Linked DNA regions of Caenorhabditis elegans. The protein of the gene in region 1 purifies or fractionates together with the protein of each later gene. This does not show direct contact. Each region holds a gene or a part of one and is shown in the gene's direction. Other genes may lie near its edges.

The links.
Region 2: the proteins of trxr-2 (region 1) and T24C12.3 fractionate together in Caenorhabditis elegans (co-fractionation; one large-scale study listed by BioGRID). This does not show direct contact.

What each region holds. Positions count from the first base shown.
Region 1 is NC_003281.10:8,912,105-8,918,569, forward strand, and holds trxr-2 (putative glutathione reductase 2), read left to right. Parts: upstream 1-1,664; 5' UTR 1,665-1,676; coding exon 1,677-1,937; intron 1,938-1,985; coding exon 1,986-2,122; intron 2,123-2,168; coding exon 2,169-2,253; intron 2,254-2,602; coding exon 2,603-3,139; intron 3,140-3,189; coding exon 3,190-3,532; intron 3,533-4,100; coding exon 4,101-4,249; 3' UTR 4,250-4,355; downstream 4,356-6,465. Other genes in the region: tpk-1 (thiamine pyrophosphokinase 1), read left to right, coding at 46-212, 267-347, 757-988, 1,033-1,144, 1,194-1,333; M-phase inducer phosphatase cdc-25.3, read right to left, coding at 4,400-4,879, 5,274-5,643, 5,691-5,791.
Region 2 is NC_003284.9:2,197,894-2,205,800, reverse strand, and holds the start of T24C12.3 (Carbohydrate kinase PfkB domain-containing protein), read left to right. Parts: upstream 1-1,907; 5' UTR 1,908-1,961; coding exon 1,962-2,113; intron 2,114-2,160; coding exon 2,161-2,236; intron 2,237-2,510; coding exon 2,511-2,609; intron 2,610-2,653; coding exon 2,654-2,765; intron 2,766-2,895; coding exon 2,896-3,129; intron 3,130-3,181; coding exon 3,182-3,302; intron 3,303-3,385; coding exon 3,386-3,471; intron 3,472-3,517; coding exon 3,518-3,642; intron 3,643-3,808; coding exon 3,809-3,865; intron 3,866-4,647; coding exon of another isoform or gene 4,648-4,906; intron 4,907-4,955; coding exon of another isoform or gene 4,956-5,111; intron 5,112-5,164; coding exon of another isoform or gene 5,165-5,234; intron 5,235-5,281; coding exon of another isoform or gene 5,282-5,363; intron 5,364-5,915; coding exon of another isoform or gene 5,916-6,101; intron 6,102-6,166; coding exon of another isoform or gene 6,167-6,340; exon of another isoform or gene 6,341-6,361; intron 6,362-6,808; coding exon 6,809-6,888; intron 6,889-7,907. Other genes in the region: T24C12.4 (ShKT domain-containing protein), read left to right, coding at 840-882, 936-1,116, 1,182-1,359, 1,408-1,560; T24C12.1 (Tetraspanin family protein), read right to left, coding at 4,648-4,906, 4,956-5,111, 5,165-5,234, 5,282-5,363, 5,916-6,101, 6,167-6,340.

The sequences.
Region 1 (6,465 bases):
TCATCACAAGTGGAAGCTTACAAAAAATAAAAATTTTGCAGAGAAATGTCAAAGAAATTGAAGCCATTCGAAATTTTAGAGGATTCGTGTGCATCAGTATGTATTTGGCTTAACGGTGAACCTACGGCAATCAGCAATCGCGCTGAAAATTTATGGAATAAGGCCAAATATCGAGTTGCAACTGATGGAGCTGTTAATGAGATTCTTAAAAGGTGATCTAGGATCCAGAAATTGAAAATTATCGTAAACCGAGTTTTGGATTTCAGAAAGAGTTTCGTCGAATGGCCTCATATTATCTGCGGAGATTTCGATTCAATAAATAAACAGATTGATACAAAAAATGCAAAGTTAGTTTAAATTCTACTGAAATTAAAAATTAATATAGGCATTACTCAACTTCATTGTAATCGTGTTTCATGTTTGATAACATCTTCTATTAATGAGCAATGATAGAATTACTGTAGGGTTACTGTAGTGATCACAAAGAATTATTACTGTAGCGGCTGTTGAATATTAGCTAAAAGAATATATAGGCGTGAACGTTGAAAATAAAATTAAAATATTATTGAGTTGTGTTTTTAATACTGGAAGACTGAAAGCTACAATTCGTTGAGAAGAGTGTATTGACCAGGTCATAATAATGATTTTGCACTTTTTTTGGTATTTCTGGCTTGCCAACTAAATGTTATTCATTCTGTGTTCAGGACTAAAAAAATAAAAATATTTTGTCGAAAATTGTTCTTAATGTTGTTTTAGAGTCGTCCATCTGCCTGATCAAGACTACACAGATCTCTCGAAGAGCGTTCAGTGGTGCTTAGAGCAGAAAACACTAACAAGCTGGGAATTCGAGAATATCGTTGTTCTAGGAGGTCTCAATGGACGATTTGATCACACCATGTCAACGTTATCATCTTTAATAAGATTCGTTGATTCTCAAACTCCTGTGATCGTTTTGGATTCTAGAAATTTGGTTCTCGCTGTTCCTACAGTAATCCTTGGCAGGCCTATGTGAACATTAAGAGTTAAATTCAGGGGGATTCAAATCTTGATGTCAATCTTGAAATGACAACAAAAATGTGTGGAATCATTCCAATTGTTCAAAAGGAGACAATCGTCAGTTCAATTGGACTAAAATATGAAATGGGTATAATCCAATGTTTCAACATCATTTCTATTAAACGTTTCCATTTCAGAAAACCTTGCTCTTGAATTTGGAAAACTTATCAGCACGTCGAATGAAGTTACCACGAGCCAAGTATTTTTGAAATCTTCGTCGTCTCTGATTTTTTCAATTGAACTTGAAAATTGGGTCTACAAACTTGATTCTCTATAGTATCACATTTTATGGTCCCTCTTAATTCACAACTTTTCATTCCTTTGCTATTCAACTGTTCTATTTTCTTTTTATTCCATTTTTCCTAGTTTTCACCGGTACTATATAATTATCTACAATATTATAATACACTTTATTCCCTGTACCATTTTGTGTTGAAAACGAATTAATAAAAATAAAAACGAATTAATAGTATGAGATTAAAATTTTCATTTTAAAAGCAATGTTATTTGTTTAAAAAATATCCAATTCTAATGAATTATCTGCGAATATCCGATAGCGATTTCAAAAATCTAATGAAAATTGAAATTCAACTTTAAATCATTTGTAGATCAATTTTCTGATGCTTCTATCCACTTTCAAACGACATCTACCAATCAGGCGTCTCTTCTCATCAAATAAATTTGATCTGATTGTAATTGGAGCAGGATCTGGAGGACTTTCTTGTTCTAAAAGAGCAGCTGATCTTGGAGCAAACGTGGCATTAATTGATGCAGTTGAGCCAACTCCACATGGACATTCATGGGGAATCGGAGGAACTTGTGCAAATGTCGGATGCATTCCTAAAAAGTTAATGCACCAAGCAGCAATCGTCGGGAAAGAGGCAGGAATAATATTATAAATATTTAGAGCACTAAATTCAAAATTCCAGCTAAAACACGCAGACAAATATGGCTGGAATGGCATAGATCAAGAGAAAATCAAACATGATTGGAATGTGTTGTCAAAGAATGTGAATGATCGAGTAAAAGCAAACAATTGGATTTATAGAGTTCAATTAAATCAGAAGTATTTTTTTTAATTTTGTGGAAATTTTTATTTTTATGAAATTTAGAAAAATCAATTACTTCAATGCCTATGCCGAGTTTGTGGATAAAGACAAGATTGTGATAACTGGTACAGACAAAAATAAAACCAAGGTACGTTTGGAAAAATGAAAAAAGAAGTTTTAAAAAATTTGTTCCGTATACCCAAAAGTTTTGCGGCTTTTCGGAGGAGAATACGGTATCAGGTCTCGACACGACAATATAGTTTTCCGAAAAAACATAATTTATTCTAACAAGTTGTGATAAAATCTATAAAAATAATCTATAAAAATTCCGTAGCAACAAATGTTTGAGATGACAGTACTCGTTAAAGGCACAACTTTTCGCATTTGACAAAAATTTGTCGCGTCGAGACCTGGTACCGCATTTTTGGCGCAAACTTTAGGTAATAATAATATTGCTAGGAAACGGAAAATTAAAAAATTTCATCCTAGATTTTCAGAATTTTCTTTCCGCACCGAATGTAGTCATCTCAACAGGACTCCGTCCCAAATATCCAAATATTCCTGGTGCTGAACTTGGAATCACTTCAGACGATCTTTTTACACTGGCATCAGTTCCCGGAAAAACTTTGATTGTTGGTGGAGGATATGTTGCATTGGAATGTGCTGGATTTCTTTCTGCATTCAATCAAAATGTTGAAGTTCTTGTGAGATCAATTCCTTTGAAGGGTTTTGATAGAGATTGTGTGCATTTTGTCATGGAGCATCTGAAAACAACTGGAGTGAAAGTTAAGGAACACGTGGAAGTAGAACGTGTAGAAGCAGTTGGCAGTAAGAAGAAGGTTACATTCACTGGAAATGGTGGTGTTGAAGAATATGATACAGTTATTTGGGCGGCTGGTAGAGTTCCAAATTTGAAAAGTTTGAATTTGGATAATGCTGGAGTGAGGACTGATAAGAGATCTGGGAAGATTCTAGCAGATGAATTTGATAGAGCTTCCTGTAATGGTGTATATGCCGTTGGAGATATTGTTCAGGTACGATAAAAAAAGTAACATTTTTTTAAAATAAAAATGATAGTATTCAGGATCGCCAAGAGCTCACGCCACTTGCTATTCAATCCGGAAAACTTCTAGCTGATCGTCTTTTTTCAAATTCCAAACAAATAGTTCGATTCGATGGAGTTGCCACTACAGTATTCACGCCTCTTGAACTCTCAACCGTCGGGTTAACTGAGGAAGAAGCCATTCAGAAACATGGAGAAGATTCGATCGAAGTGTTTCATTCTCATTTTACTCCGTTTGAGTATGTTGTGCCACAGAATAAGGATAGCGGTTTTTGTTATGTGAAAGCCGTGTGTACAAGAGATGAATCGCAGAAAATTCTTGGTCTTCATTTTGTTGGACCAAATGCCGCAGAAGTAATTCAAGGTAATTGATTCAAAAAGAGAAATAGTCCGCCCCGCCCGTCACGAAAATGTTTTCTGAACACCTTCAATTTTGGAACAATGTTCGAAAAACCATAATCTGTTCGCAAAAACTTACGTGCTAAATCTGTTATTTTGAATTTTTTATCTTTTTCTTTATTGAATGAATAATATTACACATACGCAAAATTCTGCTATTTTTGCGCCAAAAATACGGCTTGATACGACAATTTTTAATGCAAAGAAAGTGTGCACCTTTAAATAATACTGAAAATTTAAACTTTCGCTGCTGTAGAATTTTTATCGATTTTTTAAAGATTTAATCACAACTTGAGACAATTAATAAATTTTTATCAAAAAGCTTTAAAAATCTACAAAATTTCTGCAGAATCGAGAGTCTGAAACTACAGTATTCTTTACAGGCGCGAAAAAATTTTATCGTGTCAAGTTCAGGTACCGTACTTTTGGCAATCAACTCACAATATTCTGCGGGTAGGTAATACTAACAACCTCGATAATCGATCAAGATACGAAAACTTTAAAAGCTAACCGATTGCACTAAATTATTTCAGGCTACGCAGTAGCATTCCGTGTTGGAATTTCAATGTCTGATCTTCAAAACACAATTGCCATTCATCCATGTTCTTCTGAAGAGTTCGTGAAGCTTCACATTACAAAACGATCTGGACAAGACCCAAGAACTCAGGGATGCTGTGGATAATTCAAAAAGTTTATTGACAAATCATTCAGTTTATTTATCAAAGTTAATTTACATCCTATTATCCTGGATACTAGTAATTATAATTAAACATAATAAATAGTACAAAATATTTGATTATCCTTTTTAAAAGATACCGGGAACTACATATTCTTAATGCGCATCGTGCTCATGGATGGGATCACATGTCTGACGAAGTGTCGAAATACGAGTTCCAGAAGTTGTTAGAATAGATATCACAGATGTTGTTGAACTCCATTTCTTCATTGGCTTCGAAACATTCTTCTTATGGAACTGGTGCTTCCGAAGCTCAGCCTTATAACGATCATCAAACATGATTACATAATTATCTGGCTCACAGAGTTGTACTCTTTGTTCCTTCTCTAATCCCCGCGTGAAAGCGTAAAAGTTTTTATAACCTCCTTCCAACAAATAAATCTCCTCATAATCACATCTCGGATAGATATTTGAATTCAGTTTTCTGTCCACTTCCCGAAGGTTGTTCGCCATGGTTGGTCCACGTTTTTGACTGTATTCACAGTAGAAAATGGGTATCCGGTTGATTTTCTTGGAACCATCTTTGTTGAAGAAGAAGTCTGCAGCAGTTTCTGGATTGAACAGGCTTTGAGCTCCCTGAAAAGATTTGCAGTTTTAACTTTCTGGTATTTTTTCAAAACAGTTATTATAATTCTTTTTTCTGAAACGCACACTTAAAGGCGCATGATTTGGTTTGGAAGGGTCTTGCCACGAAGGAAAGTAGATTTTTTATTAATTCTAAAATTAAATGTGTTTTCTGTTTTTGACAGAACCCATTAGAACGGACTCATGATTCTTTAAGTACGAGTTTTAAGAAGTACAGTATCCCATTCTCATATGGCATTTTCTCTCGAAAGAGTCTATTTATTGAAAAACTAAAATGATACACGGACACGAAGAGAGAATATAAATTACGAGGGTTACTGTAAACTTAAAGGTACACACTAAGACTTTGGAGTCTGGAAACGTAGTACAAACGGCAAAAACTAACCTTAATATGCCCTCCATTATATTCATAATCATATCGGCAATCAATTAGAATATATTTCTGCATAAACTCAATTTGCGATAGCTTCTGCATGATTTCAATTAACGTTTCAGAAGTGATTTTTTGGTATACGGTAGAACAGCTAGGCGTCACGGTTTCCAAATGATAATCCACTTGAAGATGGGCATTCCATGTCTCAATTTCCGAAGTTGAATGGCTCTTTTTTGAGAAAGTTAGTCTTTTCTTTATCACAATTTCAGAAGTATTCGCAGAATCCGTTCCAGATGTATATCCTCCATCAATGCTTCGTTTCCGAGTGGGTGGCGATGAGTTGGAGATGTGGCTGATCGCAGAAGAGTGTTGACGGTTTTGTCTGTAAATTATGGATTTATTGATATCGAACACAAATAATCAACTAACCTTGGGAATAGCTTCGAGGATCCTTCAGCACATTCAGAACATTTCAGCCGGAGCCCGTCATTGCGAACAATGCAGTTTTCACATGGAACGTCAACGCACATCAGGAGACTTGGAGCTAGACTGAACTAGGTATACCTGAATGAAAGAATGCAATAGAATGGATTTGAAGACTAAATGAAAAAAGAGAGACTGACTAGTCTAGTTTAATATGAATTGGAATGGGATCAGTAGAAAACCCTAATGAACACTCAATAAAATAAAACATTATTTTAGCGCGCAATGATCATGGACCCTCCCCTTTTATATGGTCCCCCTCGAGATCGATATAACCTATATAAAATGGGGCGGGCCGTTCTCCTGGGAAGACAATTGATCTCGCAATTGTGTGCCAAGGTGTCGTGTTAGTGTGGCGATGTGCACCTATTTCCGGGAGTGAGAATTTGACCTACGATTGTTTTCACCTTTAGAGCGGGAATTAGACAAAGAGAATATGAGTAGATTCGACTGGGAAGTTTTGATTCTGGGAAGAAACGGTGAGAATTGTCTCTAATTGTATTTAACTTTGAACAATTTTAAATAAAATTTTTGGTATAAGGTGTAGAATATGGCTTGTGGGCAAAACAATTGAAAATCATTAATTTGATGGATACCATAATAATTTTTAAAAAATTGGAAAAGAAAAAATTGGAAAAAGAAAATTTCCACCTATAAAAGGAAACGAAACCGGCTTCCAGGTTCTTGACTGACTCTTAACATATCTAGATCAGAAAGAACC
Region 2 (7,907 bases), on another chromosome or scaffold:
AAAACCATTCCACTTTTTTGAATGGTTTAGGCTCTTCAAAGAGGCAAATGGTGAAAACTATGTGTAAAACAGAAATTTCAAATTTTTAGGAGAAACAATTTGTTTAATGAATGAAGTTATTTCATTGTTGGAAGCATGAGTTTCTGATAATTAGCGTCAGTGGGGATCTTTTCCAAATGCACCAATAATGATATAAAATAACCATATTAAAACACTCCAAAAGTTTTTAGATTAAAAAAAAACTTCCAGTCAGTCAAAGAAGTTTTGGCTAGTTGCCAAATTTTGGAAAACCTTTTAAGAAAATCCAGAGCAATGTCGCAAGAGTCTACCCTTATAATGTTTTAAATCAACTAAATAGAATACAATTAAAGTATAAAAGTCGTCGAAAAAATAAATTTTTTTTGACCTGCTTCCAAAATTATGAGAGGCAAAAACTCAGTAATTGCAACTTTTTGAGAGTGAATAAAATTTCCAAAAATTTTTTTGGAAAGATTTACTATGATAGTATGCCAACTTCAATATACCCCACACTTCTTTCCGCGATATTAATCACAGACACGTGTCACCTACGTGTAATCACCGATGATCATCCAGTAGTGCATATGCCAATCACGTCAGAGTTGACGGTCTCTCATGCTCCCATAATGCTTAGCTCGATTCATTTTTCCGTGCCTTCCGGTCATCGTTTACATTGTGTTGTTGCTGCACACTGCTCAACGCCTTGGGGCGGCGCGAAAATGCGGGAGGTGCAGAACCGGAATGATTGGCACTGTATTATAAAAGTACGAGCAATGTTCCGTCGACTTGGGACATTCTCAATTACACCACAATTGAGCGTCATGTGGAAGTACGCGGTTGTCTTTTCTGCTATTTTTCTCATCCGTGAGTAGGCTTTTTCATTTCTAATTCATTTTATTGTTTTTTTTTAATTTTAGATATTGTGGATGCTGGCTTCCAAATTTCACAGCTCAAACCATTGTACAAAGAGGATAATATTACTATCAGTGAGCTTTCCACAGCACTTGGAGCAGCCTTTCCACCATGTTGCTCCGATATCATTTCGAGCATTGCCTGTAGAAGACTTCAACAGCACAATCCTTCGAAGTTCCTAGACAGGTTGGTTTTTTTTTAAACTTCATTAATTGTTTCAAATGCTCTCTGAAATTAAATATGAAGTTCAGATGCGCTACTGACGCTGATTTCTCTTTGATCCAATGTTGTAACACTTGTGGAATGGAAAGCGCTGCCGATAGATACGAGCTCATTTTCCAAGCCGGCCACAAATCCAACCAATGTTTCGACCGCCATGGATCAGAGTTCTGCAAGCGATTTTTGAAGAAGGAGGATGTTTGGGGAAAGGTAGGTGACGCTTTTCTAAATGTTTTCTAGACCACTTTTTTTTTGCAGTCTCAATGGTCTTGCGACGGATCGACTGCACATTTGGCGTTCCGCATTTGCAGAAAAACTTGCAACTTTTGCCGCAGAGATATTTATCGCACACCGCTCGGTCGATTTGAGCCAGTGTCTTGTGGAAAACCACCAGTTCTCATTCCGAACTAAATGTCACACTGGAAACGTAATTTATTCATTCTTATTTTTTAATATTTCTTACTCATTTATTTATTTATCTATTCAATACTTACTAATCTGTTGTAATATATTTTCCTAATTTCATGACGAAAATTAACGAGATCTCGATCGAACCTTTTTAAAATTCCAATTTATTTATTTTAATGATTAATAAAATCTTCACAAAAAAAAAGCTTGGACTTTGAAATTCGTAAAAATGACAATCTTATCAAATGATGGACACTTTTGAGATAGTAAAAAACAGAGTGTAGAGGGCAATCTTATCTCTTCTCTCCATCTTTTTCCATATCGATCTTGTTCGATAACCAGAAAAAGTAGTGTTGTAGATAGTGCGAGCCCCATTCTAGGTCTATTACTCTCTATTTCTCACTATGTGTTCTCGATTTTTTGGCCAAAAACGTTCGTTTTCCAAATTTCTTCAAATTTCTCCACAAGTTAAGGAGGCTCTAGCTAGCGGAGAAGGAGTTGTCGCGCTGGAGAGTACAGTGATCACACATGGACTTCCTTACCCTCATAATTTAAGGTAGTGAATTGCAAATGCATTTGAAACTATTAAAAAATTATTTGCAGTACTGCAAGAAGTTTGGAGCAAAAAGTTCGATCATCAGGAAGTCATCCAGCTACGATTGCGTTATTTGATGGAAAAGTAGGTTTTTTCGCTAGAACTTGTTTCTGAAAATTTAAATTATTAAATGATACTTTTATTGCTGCCACGTTCGTTTTTCTAGCAGACTGCGACATTTTATACCAATATTTTCATATAAAACAATAATATTTTTTTATTCAAAAACTGCCAAAATTAGTGTTTCATCAACTAAAAATTCTTAGGAATTTTTGTGAAAACTTAAACGCTATAAAATTAAAAATCATTTTTTGAAAATTTTAAATAGTGTATACCTAAACATTTTCATTTTATTCAGATTCATGTTGGATTGGATGATGAAAAACTGGAACTTCTTGCTTCAAGTCAGAATGCAGTCAAAGTTTCCTCCAGGGATATCGCAAAGACACTGATTAAAGTAAGTTTGATCTACTATGATAAATTTTTCAATGTTGATTTCAGAAAGAAGTTGGAGGAACTACAGTAGCTTCAACTATGAAGATAGCACACGCAGCTGGGATCAGTGTATTTGCAACAGGTGGCATTGGTGGAGTACATCGTGGTGCAGATCAGAGTGAGTTGTTTCATGTGTTTGGTGTTTTTTTTTTGACCCGTGAAGTTTTAGGAAAATTGTTGAATTTGGACAATTTTTTTTACCATTTATTCAAGTTCTTTTTTTTCCGAACAGCAAAAAAATTTTCCAGCATTCGATGTTTCGGCTGATCTTCAAGAACTTTCGCAAACTCCCGTGTGTGTGGTGTGCTCTGGAGTCAAAAGCATTTTAGACATACCCAAAACTGTCGAATATCTTGAAACTCATTCCGTGAACTGCATAGTTTATGGGCAAGAAAATGTGTTTCCAAGCTTTTTCACTAGAACATCAGATAGAAAAGCTCAATTCTGCACTGAATCATTGGAAGAAGTTGTTCACCTGTTAAGTGAGTTGATGAAAAATATTGGTTCATGAAGTAAAGTCATGAAGTGTTTCAGAAACCTCGAAATCTCTCGGATTACCTTATGGAACTATTCTGGCTTGTCCTATTCCTGAAAAATATGCAGCTGATGGAGATGCGATCCAGAAAGCAATTGACCAAGCTGTTCAAGAAGCCATGTAAGTTAAAATTTAAATATGTTGCACTTTTTAAAAATATTTTTTGAAAAGTTCCCTGTTTTGCTTCAAAACTTTACTTTCAGTGAACAAAACATCGCTTCACAAAGTGTCACCCCATTCATTCTTGCAAGAGTGAACGAGCTCACACAAGGAGCTTCAATGGCTACAAGTATGCGTTTTGAACAATTTTTCCGCTGTTAATTGTCATTTTACAGACATTGCACTTCTCGAGAATAATGCGTCAATTGCTGGAAGACTAGCCGCAAAGCTCTGCGATAGACGTCCACTTACAATTTCACAGAGCCAACCAACTGCATCAACGACTCGAAAACCAAAAGTGGTGAGTCAAACCTACAATAAAGTTTTTTTTATTCACTTGCGAAATGTGGTATTGTTCTCATAAAAGTTTGAAACAACACAAGCTGTCTTAGCAAACAACCAACGCCTACTAGTTTCAATGACATTTATTTGTCAAACGTATCAAACAGATCACGACTGTTTTTCAGGTTTCTATCGGAGCAACTATCGTTGACTTTGAAGCCATCACGAGTGAAGATGTAAAGGTGAGAATGAAACAAAGAACAATTGAAAATGAGCAACAACAAAAAAAATCAGAAAAAAACATTTGGGGAATGGAGTATACCAAAAAAAAAAAAACCAAAAAAAACATGACAATTTAGAAAAGAAAAACTTTTGAAAAACACGTAAAAAATTATGATGAAAGAAACTTAGAGATTTGAGTGGTTTGCGGATTTTAAAGTGATTGAGCCGTGGAAAGTTGTCTGAAGGGGACCTAACGGTTCAGACATGGCACAGAAAAGTAGACACAAGTGAAACCGCCATAAAAAATTATTGAAAAAATTTTGAAAAGTTTCATTACGAAATTCGTTTATTTGAGTTCATTTTATTCGAAATTTGCATTATTAGATCAAAATTGCCCAAACCGTTTAAACTCATTTAAAAACAAAGTTAGAGAAAAATAATATACACTAGGTGAAACACTCTCGACAATTTGCTGCAACTCATCCACCAACTGCTGCAACTTTAGCAATGCCAAGCGAAGAAGTTGCTAAATTTGGGAAAAAGGTTGGATAAAATTGATCAAAGTAGGTAAACTTAGTAGAAAGTGCTTGGCCAAAGTTGTAGATATGTTTCTATAGTTCGTAGAAACGTTGCAAAAGTTGGTGTATAAGTTGTGACAAATTGCCGAACTAGTAAGATTCATCAAAATATTATTTTACCAACAACATCTCTTATACCAACATCACACCCTTGCAAACACTTTCACAAAAACCCCTGAACTGTCGGAATGAAAAAAGGAGAAACTGAACTGAACCCCCAAAAATTAAAACTGTTCAGTAACAGCAGCCGCCTCAAGTTGTCGTGCATTATGAGCAGCAATCGCTTGTTGTAGCTCTTCCCGAATTTCATCCCCACGGACCGTAAATTCGTTCTCCACCTCCTCGATTACAGAGTGCTTCAAGAAAGGTGAATATCCTGGGAAACTTTTAACGCGGCTGATTCCTGATGTTTGGGTTGACGTGCTGTCAGCCAAGTTGATATTGCTCTTGAAGCTCTCGATGTAACCATCTCCATGGCGGTCACTGAAATATAATTGTTGATTATTAATGCTCCTCAAGTCATAGTTATTACTATTCATTAATCATCTGAGAGTAGTATTCAAGTTCCGCCATTTCTGTTTCAACTTTCTCGATATCTTTTCGAAGAGCTGCGATCATGAACAACTTCAGCGGCGTGATCACACAAAAAGCAAGACATCCGACTATTTCTGTATTGGAATGGAGCCATCTGCAAGATTTTTTTGTTCATATAATTTCAGTTTTTCCTGAAAGATATGTTACCTCTTGAGATGAATATAGCAGTCATTGGAATGTCCAGTTGGGCAAAACGATTTTGTAACGTTTAGAAAATCTGAAATACAGAATTTTATGAGGGGAACAACTGTAGAAACTAGATACCTGCACATGTTTGTAACACTTCTTCGGGTGGGCAGCAAATCAAAGTCTGATAGACGTTATCCCAGACAGAGCATAGTTCTTTCTGAAAATTAATAACACGTGTTAAAAAATTACACAATTTATCAAAATTTTGCATGGTGATATTGAAAAATCTGAAAATGTTTTCAGTGTTCTAGTATAATTTTCAGCATTTTTGGACTATAATAAATGTAATTAAAGTTGATCATAATTGCAACCGAATGTATTCAAACTTTTTGAAACAATTTAGCAATAAGAACTGCGCCGGGAGCGGAAAAGTCATGAGATCCCAAATTCCACGTATATGTGCTAAAATGTGTAATCAAGACCATCTGATTTTTTTTGGTCAGAGTGATAGACTAATAATTTGGTAGGCTGAACTAGGCTGAAAACAATGCTGCATAGGTTTTTTGTCAGTGCGAGTTTTCAAATCATTAAAAAGGAGGTCTTGTAGAAATTGGACACACTGTATCAATAATTAGTATTCCTCAATGAGTTTAATAACTCCTATTTTTCCACGTTTTGTTCTGCACAAACTGTACTGGTTTAACTTTAAAAAATCAACCTAACTGTATACTTGGTTTTTCTCCCGGATTTCAAAATCTTGAATACTTACACTGCTATTGTGAAGTACTTGAATGTGGGAATATAGCGAGGTGTGAGCTGTGGACATGATGCTTGCAAAAACGAAAACCATGACAGCATCCACAATAAGTGTACAGCACTTTATCCAATGACAAAAAACGACAACGCCAATTTGTCTTTTCCGAATTGCAACAATTGATGCGATACACAAAAGTGCCTGAAAACAATGGTTTTTGATGATACATAGTGAAACTATTAAGTTCGGAGCTTTGCACTACTCACCAAACAAATATTGATGAAGCAGTATCCAAGAACATATGGATCATTCTTTTTGATAGGAATCAGCACGAATAATGGGCTTGTGAGCATGACAATCGTGGCGCCAAGAAAGAGAAAAACGGCAAGCAGGAGTATCATATTGCTCCCATAAAGCCATGCCGCTTTACCAAACCGCATGCTGAAAACTTGTTATAATTATGGCAAAGTGATTCTGAAAATCAATGATGAAGGTACAAAAAACAGGAACGGGGAAAGATTTTTGAAAAGAAAGACGAACAGGAAAACACACACCTCGCACATGTTTGTTTCTTCTTTCTCTCTCTCTCTACGAGGATTGATTGTGAGAGAAACAGTGCTGATGGCTCGTCTGTATGATTGATGAAAAGTGGGAGGCCAAGACAAAAAAAGAGAAAGAACAAAATAAAATAAATGAAAACTGTGTGGCAGAAGCTTCCGGCACACTGCCAATCGGAGAGCAAGCTTTCTGATTCATTGCTATTTGAACAAAGTATCAATGCGCTACTGTCACACATTTAAGTGATCGCTTCAAAGCACATAATGTTTTTTTTTCTAAAGAATTGAGATTGAGAATTTGATATTGAACTCCAATATATATAATATCCGGTAACACTTAAATGATTTCAGGATGATGGCGGCTCATACAACGGACAAGTGGTACAGCGAATGGGAGGAGTAGCAAGGAATCACGCGGATGCATTAGCAAGGTCAGAAATACTCGTAAATTAGAATGTCATCGCTTGTGCGTCGCGCTAAAAGACGCACCACCACTTTCACTTTTGGCACACAGTTTTCATACATTCACAAGAAATCGAAATGATATGTTTTTCTTCCTGACCATTTTTGTTTTGAATTGAAGAAAAAAAATTGCTAAGAATTTGTAGCGTGGTCAAAGTACAGTGCATATTGGGATAAATAATTGGAATGATGTGAAAATGTAGTGTTCAAATGAGGGGTGGGTAATTGCCGTTCGGCAAATCGGCAAACTTGCCGGAATTGCTCAACTCCGGCAATTTGCTAATTTGCCGTTTGCCGGTATCAGTTTGCCGGAAATTTCTAAAAGGATTTTCGATAAGGCGAAAACACTGAACCGTGCCATTATGAAATGTTTTCCTGTTTTTGAATTATATTCACATATAAATTGCTTACTTTCAAAATAGATGTAGGGTGATCCGTAGGATGCGTACAATTTTGCGGTTCAAAATTTAAATGTGTATAGAGTTAAAGAAAAAATGTGTAAAACCTTAATTTGCCGATAATTTTTGGCCATTGCCGTTTTCTGGCAAATTCGCCGATTTGCCGAATTTGGCAAAAATTTGAAAAACAGCAATCCACCCCCGGTATACTAAACCAAATACAGAAATACAAAATGTCATAAAACTAATCAAGTCCATTTGCATTTATGGACTTGTGGCTTTCATTTTTTGTTCAAACCAAAAGCACAAGCGAGACCTTTTAACTTCTCATCACATCAAGATAGTACAATGTCACTGTAAACTTCAAAGATGACCGACAACACAATACCACCAAACCTGATGCTCAAACGAAAGTAAATGTTGCCGAGGTATTTGTGTGGATCGCAAAAGAGCGAAAAAGTAATTTGAACTCGGTCTCTTTGGAATTCGATTTTTTTCTGCTCTTATTTTGACAAACATCCCAAGATCGTTGTTCAGTTTTGTAATTGTTTTGTGTACGATCAATTGTTTGATTGACTTTTGTCTGATAG